Linked DNA regions of Daphnia pulex. The protein of the gene in region 2 binds, or shares a complex with, the protein of the main gene of each other region. Links are inferred from orthologs where the notes say so. Each region holds a gene or a part of one and is shown on either strand. Other genes may lie near its edges.

Evidence for each region.
Region 1: nuclear pore complex protein Nup153-like (region 2) and nuclear pore complex protein Nup85-like share a complex: the UniProt entries of both Drosophila melanogaster proteins name them as parts of the nuclear pore complex. The link is inferred for Daphnia pulex from reciprocal best matches to the Drosophila melanogaster genes Nup153 and Nup75.

Annotation. Positions count from the first base shown.
Region 1 is NC_060023.1:4,665,885-4,670,111, forward strand, and holds nuclear pore complex protein Nup85-like, read left to right. Parts: upstream 1-1,295; 5' UTR 1,296-1,437; coding exon 1,438-1,452; intron 1,453-1,514; coding exon 1,515-1,623; intron 1,624-1,680; coding exon 1,681-2,267; intron 2,268-2,337; coding exon 2,338-2,460; intron 2,461-2,573; coding exon 2,574-2,792; intron 2,793-2,919; coding exon 2,920-3,557; intron 3,558-3,629; coding exon 3,630-3,873; 3' UTR 3,874-3,972; downstream 3,973-4,227. Other genes in the region: rRNA methyltransferase 2, mitochondrial-like, read right to left, coding at 25-285, 357-474, 539-587, 656-795, 903-1,063. UniProt on the Drosophila melanogaster protein: Component of the nuclear pore complex (NPC) that seems to be required for NPC assembly and maintenance. Required for nuclear import of phosphorylated Mad via importin msk.
Region 2 is NC_060021.1:248,723-252,491, forward strand, and holds the end of nuclear pore complex protein Nup153-like, read right to left. Parts: coding exon 1,462-3,769; 3' UTR 672-1,461; downstream 1-671. Other genes in the region: guanine nucleotide-binding protein-like 1, read left to right, coding at 1-637. UniProt on the Drosophila melanogaster protein: Component of the nuclear pore complex (NPC), a complex required for the trafficking across the nuclear envelope. Functions as a scaffolding element in the nuclear phase of the NPC.

The sequences.
Region 1 (4,227 bases), on a different chromosome or scaffold from region 2:
GCAAAGTAAGTAGTTAAATAATTACTATGTATTTTTCTTGAAATTACTAGCTAGTATAAACATTTCAGCTGAATCCTGTCTACTACTAGGTGGTTTCACAACTTTGACTTGAGAATAGTGTAATGCAATCTCATTCTCCAGTTGTTTGATTCTTCCTCCTGCCCATAATTTTATCAATAGCGTAGCTCCGTCCATAGAGATTTGTTGCGCGTAACGCAGCACTGAATATGCTAATTCTAATATCCTATCTTGATCCAAATCTCGTATACCCGATGCTGCAGGAGCCTAAATTTAATTAGCAAATATTAATTGAAATAATTTAAGGTAAAAAAAAACTGAAATAAAATCAGCCCTACCATATCACTTAGGACTGCATTAGCAAGTTGCCCACCAAGTATTTCTGTTATTCTGGTCTGGGACAAACTTTTTGTGAAATCTAATGGAGCCAAGATTACAGCTCCTTCAATTGGGTACCTGAAAGAATAAAATTGAATAATGTTAGTGAACTAAGGGTACCAAAACTTTGCAGCCCTTTTACATTGGTTGAAGATCAACTGCTACATGCTTTCCTTTAAGCTGAGAAGACACTGCATGAAATCCATAAACATTCTAGTGTCATTTTAATTAGGCTAAATAGTTAAACAATTCAATCTACCTTTTCCTGTTGCATTAATTCGTTTTACACATACTTGTGTCCAAGCACCAGGTGCAGCGCCACATTCTACAACCACATCTCCAGGTTTAAGGAATTTGTGTTTGTCATCAATTTCAATCAATTTAAAGGCACTTCTAGCTCTTTCTTGGTTAATAAGAAGTAGTAAATATTAGACAACAATTAAACTGAAGCTATAGCCTGTTAATTGAAAATATTGAAATCATAATTTTTATTTGAAAATTACTACCTATAATTTTCCATTTTGGCTTTAAGAACATACTCGTCATTCATTTGCCGAGTTAGCCATTCTTGAGAACTTTTACTGCGGCCCTTTAGCCGATCGGGCACTTTTTTAAAGCATGTTGAAGACGAACAAAACTGTCTTACTGAACAAACGGCAATGTTCATAGCAAAAACTTTGTTGAAACGGATATTTTAATATGGATCAAATAAATTCTTCAGGTGAAAAGCGATAAACAACTTGAAAGTATTAATGAAACAGCAATATAACATCACCTAATAAGATCAAGTAGACTATGATATTTTGTCAACAAACAAGCAGCCACGAAAATTGAAATTTCCGCTATCGACATTCGGCAGCACAGGTCATAGTTACCGCCGTAACCATGGCCATTGCAGTATGGTGTAAAACCGAAGCAGCAGACGACAGATTAGAAATATTTCAAAAAAGTACTCGTTACGAGTTCTGACTGTTAGTTGAAATCCTTCTGAATCCTACACACAATTACGATTTGTGACGTGATTTTCACGCATTTTACAGAATGCTTGAACCTATTGTAATAATAATTTCGAATTGTTCATGGTATACATATTTGTAACCAAACTTTCTTTGTTTTAGGGAATACAAGATCCTCTATTTGCATACAACAAAGATGTTGGGCATTCTTGGGGTTATGGTAACAGCTTGGCTGTATTTCCAACAGAATTTTCCAAGTCGATCACCTCTGGTAAGTTCTTTCTGGAAGTTAGCCAAAAAACTCCTACTAAGTTTTTCTCAATGACAGGTCCAGTTAGTCCCCAGACTTGTAAGAAGAAGCTTTATACAATTTCTTGGGAGCGAACCTTGTACAATCCTTTTGTTCGCAAGCTGGTCAATGAATCCTGTGGAGCATTTACTTCTTTACAAATTAAGGCTGGCACAGATGGCCAAATCAGCTCATCTGAGTTAATTAAATCCAGTCATCAGTATCGTTGTATAATGAATGCATGCATTGAAGATTTGAACCAAGCAGCAGATCTTGCTAACAGTGTTGAATCTAATCAAGCACTTCAAGAAATGAGTGAAATATTTTACAAAGCTGAGTTGGTGTGGAATTTGTGTGAAATTCTGTATCTTGAGAACCCACTTGGAATTCTGCCACACCTATTAGAATGGATTCGTATTCATTTTCCAAATGCAGTAGAAGAAACTGGTACAGTTTTAGCATCACCAAATCCTGGACTCCATGAAAGCTATTGGAAAGCTCTCTATGGACTAGTGTTTCAGTTACGCTTAGAAAGTGCTACCAAACTGTTAAGAATTCATCCTGATTTCCAGAGTGAAGCTTTTCAGAGTGCATATGAGTTGCTGAAGAAAATGCCAGTCTTTAGTGTAAGAAAGTTCTTGTAATTTAGATAGATTAACAATTTTTCTATCTCCTAAGTATTTCTGTTCTATTTAGGCCAACTCAACTGTTTCTGCTCCAGAGTTTACCTTCAGATGGAATCATTGGAAAGAAGAATGTGAGGCTCGCACTCAAGCTGGAGATTTCTTCGAATCAAAAGATTTAGAACTTCTAATGGAGGTATATAATGTTTTATATATAATGATCTCTTAATTCCCATTTTTATTTTCATTAGTTTATGTTGTATGTCTTTTGTCTAACTTACATAAACTTTCTATTTACTTACGATAAAGATACTATGTGGCAAAGAAGAAGCATTTGAAAAAGTTGGCGATCATTTCGAAACTTGGTATCAACGAATGATTACTCAGTTAACGTTCACGCAACCCACAATTGGAACGTTATCTTTGGGAGATGAAGCCGAACAGTTTTTTGCTTCCTTAATCGGATTAGATGATTTGACGTCACTAGATGCAACACTTTTGGCCGTTCTTCGTCGCGACACGCGTAAAGTGAGTATCGCTGTTATCAATGGATAAGAGTTTTAAGCAAGTTTGATAAGAGTTCATGCAAGTATCAAGACACTACCAACATAATTAACTGGAAACGTTTTATATCTGTTCAAATTTGTTGTCACAGGTGATTGGAGAAATGCAAGGAGTATTGGATAATTCTTGGTTTACGGCACATCTCGCTGATTTATTGTATCACGCCGGAGCACTTCAGTCGTTCGAAGACATTAACTCACTACAGCTGAGAGAAACTTTGCTTCGTGACTACTCGATTTGCTTATTTAGCCACCAATCCTTGTGGTCGGTTGGTGTTCTCTATCTTGACCATTGCCCTAATGTTGGTTCTGCGACTCTGGAACACTTGCTCACTCGACTTCCGTGCCAGTCGGAAATGAAGGCAACCAAAATAATTTCACTTGCCGAGCGAAGAAAACTAACATCAGTGGTAACTTCCGTCTGTCGTGTAATGGGTCGACGGGCCTTGGCCAATGGACGACTTGGTGCGGCAGTCGCTTGGGCTGTTAAGGCGCAAGACGCTCCTCTTGCTACCTATGCCGCCGATGCTGTTCTGAAGAGTTACCTTCAAGATTCAGATTTTACTTCGACGGACTTGCTAGACTCACTGGGTGCTGGACTTCTTGCCAGCGATCGATTGGCTTTCCTTGGGAAATATCGCGAGTTTCATCGTCTTTACAATTCAAACGATTTTCATTCAGCAGCTGGCCTTTTGATCTCTTTAATCTCATCACGGATTGCACCGAAATAGTAAGTAGCCTAACCACTAACCATGTTATCATAATTGCAGCTGCCTAATAATTATTGAAATTTCGTTTTCAGCTTTTGGACCGTTTTGCTCATGGACGCACTACCATTATTAGAAACAAATCCGCCAGTTTTCACTTCAGAACAAACTTACGAATTAATGCAAAGTCTACAGGAGTTGACGTCTTCGTTTCAAGATGATGCTGAAATCAACCCCCATCCAAACTGCCAACTCAATTCTGATAAAACAATGTTAATAACTTTAGCATTAAGTCGAAATTTGGCGAAATGTTTTGTACAACAAACTGTTTGTGATTAATGGGATGAAATTGTCTTTTCCACTTCGAATTTACTGCGTGGTATTAATCCACTTTAAGAGGGAAATTTGAATACATCCATATTGTGTTTCTTCTTTAAATAGTTTTCCAACAAATTTTCTGGCTGTCGTTCGTGTACCAAATTAAATGTTTTGTTTTTTTTTGTTTTTTTTATGACTGGACTTGATAAGGACTGTATAGCACAGTTTCTTTTTTTAATTTCATACCGTGCAAATTGAATTATGTAATTTGAGTGTGGTTAGAGTAAGAAAAAAAAAACAATCACGGAAACGTGAAAGTAACGCAGCAGATTCTGAGCAAAATATTGCTCATGACTGGACCTACAGTATATATAA
Region 2 (3,769 bases):
GAGTGTTTCCAGAACTCCAGGTCATACCAAACATTTCCAAACCATCTTCCTGACACCCAATGTGAAATTGTGCGATTGTCCGGGATTGGTTTTCCCCTCGCAACTTCCACGCACGCTGCAGGTGTTGGTAGGAAGCTATCCCATCGCCCACCTACGAGAGCCTTACACAGCTGTTGGTTACGTTGGCAAGTATTTGAATTTGCCGGAATTGCTCAAGATGGGCCATCCTAGTGGCGAGAAAGCAACAGAAGGTCAAGAATGGTCGGCCTACGATATCTGCGAAGGATGGGCTATCAAACGAGGTTTCATGACCAAACGGGCTGCCCGACCCGACGTGGCTCGTTCTGCCAACCATCTTCTAAGACTAATATTGGAGGGGAGAATCACTTTGTACTTGCGGCCACCCAACTATAAAGCGGAAGAGTCGAAATGGCAGTCACACCCGGATGTAGCCGAAATTACCAACATTCAAGCACTCGGTCAAATGAAAGACGATGGTTGGCTGGAAGCAGCCGCAGAGGTGGTTGAAGAGGAAGATTCTAATCAAGAGAGTGAAGAAGAAGAAGATGATGAAAGCGAGGAAGAGCAAGTCCCTGCGTCTTCGAATAAATTTGCTTTACTGGAAGATGATGATTAAAATGTATCAGATGTGTGAGATATATATAACTGAATCACAAATCAACGTCGTTTATTTGAAAGAGCACTAGTTGGAACGCTTTTGTTTCTATAACATCGGTTCACATCGCCGTGGTTCCAAAGTAAGATGAGAGCCACTGAGCAAGGAAGAGAAAATAATTCATTTTATAGAGTCGATCCGCTTACAAAATTTTTCCCACAAGTTCCACAAAGTAAAACTCCCCGACATTATTATATCTAACTAACCCCCCCGCAATTCAGAAGAAATGAATTTGTCGGTTGTTCCGGTAATGTATGACGACTTCCAGATTTGAATTTTGTTAGGTAATATGTCAAGAAAAAAAGCAAACAGGATAAGAGGTTGAATTTAGAGTATTTCACACACCATTAAATTCAACCCCTGGTAAAGAGCAGACACATTAAATATAGATGAAGAAAAAGGCCGAATGGAAATGCCATGCACATTCTCTCAGATTGCCAAGTATAAGAAATCAGATTGATCTAATTTCGCATTTTACTAATTTCTGTACAGAAAAATCACAACGGGTCATCGACGTGTCCCTTCTAATGTAAAAAAAAAAGAGCCCTGAAGCTCCAATTGGCCCCGAGAATGTGAAAGGCAAGTTCAATGCCACATGAAAAGTTCTGAAAAAGGTAAAGGGATGAAAGAGAGAAGTAATTACACATGGGAATTTCATACATACACTTGCGCGCACACACGCTCTTTTCCGCACACACACACACACACACACAGTTTAAAAAAAAAAAATGTTTTCAAGTCGCTTAATGTTGGGTCATACCCCCACCAAAGGGCTGCTCTCTTGTCTATCTTCGTCGAACTGCCTTGCGCATTTTCCGGGCTCCACCTGCGCTGCCGGTGTTGTCAAAAGGGTTGGCTCCAGGAAAACCCGCAGCGAACCCGGGAGACGGAGCATCAGGAGGATTAAACGTCGCAGCCGGTGGAAAATTGAAACCCGAATTGACGGCTGGTGGAGCGGCATTCATGCCAAACTGAAAGAGGCCGGGCGGTTGTTGAGGCGGAGCAGCGGGGGCAGGAGCAGCAGCAGACCCACTAAAATTGAAACTAGATGACGCAGTGAAGGCGGATGGAGCAGAAGCCGATGGGGCACTGAATGAAAAAGGTGCAGCAGCAGCAGCCCCAAAACCTGTCGGTTGTAATGAACCAAACGGAGACGATACTGCGGCTCCAAATGCAGGAGTAGAAGATGGTGTGGCATTGAATCCTGAAAACGGAGCCGACGTGGTCTTGGGAGCACCAGTACCGAAAGTTCCAAAAGTAGGAGCAGCGACCGTTGAAGGTGTAGTTTGCTGGGAAGTTGCAAAGTTAAACTGCATTTTGGGTGCCTCTGAAGGAGTCGTGACCGGAGTGGCAACGTTTGAAGATCCAAAAGCAAATGACGATGGGACGGACGTTGTTGAAGCACCAAACCCGAATCCACCACTACTAGCGGGTTTGGTGGCATCTTTAGGAAATTGATACGCTGGGGGAGCAGGTGATCCGAAATTGATGAACGATGCGGTCGTAGTCTGTGGCGTTCCAAACGAAAAAGACATAGACGGCGCAGCGGCCGTAGACGTGCTAGTCGTAGGCGTAGCTCCCGTACCTGAACCGAATGGAAAAAGGGAGCTAGAGCTTGCCGGAACAGCCGATCCCAAGGTAGATTTCGTGGTAGTAGTAGGTAAACTGAAACTGGGGGGAGCAGCCGTCATTCCAAATGCCGTGGGGGCGACGGCCGTTGCAGTTTGTGAACCAAAAGTTGGGAGAGATGTTGTAGAGGTCGATAGACCGAAAGCAATCGACGACGCAGTAGTAGTAGGTAATCCAAAAGTGGAAGGAGCAGGTGCTGAAGTTGTGATGCCAAAGGGCGGGCTCGTAGACGTTGCGACAGTTGTTGAAGCACCGAAAGTTGGTGCCGATGAAACTGAAGCACCAAATACTGTTGGGCCACCAAAATTGAAAGACGGCGCAGTAGCCGGTTTGAATAGCGATAGAGAAGGAGTCGACGTCGCACCTCCAGTGAAGCTAAACGGAGTTGATGTGGTGGTAGTAGTAGGTATCGACGATGTACTTTTGGGAATCTGCGACTCTTTTTCGGTGGCCTCACCAAAATTGAAGGTTGGCTTTTCTGTCGATGTCTCTGGTTTGCCAAACGCAAATGTAGGCTTTGTTTGTTCCGTTGCTCCAAAAGAAAATGAGGATGCCGAACTGACAGGAGCCTGTTTAATGTCCGATGGGGCCGCGGGTTTCTTCCCGAGAATATCCATCACGCTGCCGGTTTCCAGTAAAGACACCTTCGAGTCAGGAACTGCAGGTGCAAAGCTAAAAATGGGACTCGATTTAGAGGCTGACGATGTGGTTGTCGGTGCAACATTGAACGCTGCTGGATTGGATAGGACCGAAGTTTTGAATTGTGAATCCGCCACTGTTTTTTTCTCATCGTCTGTCGCCAAGTCCGTCTGACGCCCAAACACAATTGGTTCTTCAGCTTTCTGTGTTGGCTCTTTTGGTTTGATTTGGAATAATTCGATGGGTCCTGTGTTTTCAGAAGCTACAGGCGCAGTAGAAGTGATAGCTTTGGTTTCTTCTGGTTTCTTCTCAATTCCAAATTTAAATCCACCGCTTGTTTCTTCCGTTTTCTTGCTTGGTTCAATCGATGTACCAAATTTAAAGCCTGCTTTTTCAGGAATTTTACTGGGTTCAACGAATTCAACTACTGATTCGCTAGAAGACGCTTCTATTTTCTTAGAGGGTTCTATCACATTTCCAAACTTGAATCCAGGGGTTACACTTTTATCTTTCAATACTTCAATGCTGGCGCCAAATTTGAATCCTGAAGAAGAAGAAGAACTTTCTTCCTTTTCGCTAGAAGTCCCAAAAGAAAACCCTTTTGTTTGGGTCAAAGTTGACGATTCCGTTCCAAACTTGGGAGCTGTTTGTTGTCCAGGTTGAATGCCGAATTTAAAGGTTGAAACCGAACTGGGTTTAACTGCAGGCTTGGATCCCGGGCGTGCTTCGTCGCAAGATTTGCATCGATCGTCTTTATCAGCGTTCCTGATCATACACACAGAACATTCCCATTGAGCGGCGGTCATTTTAAATTGATCACCGAAT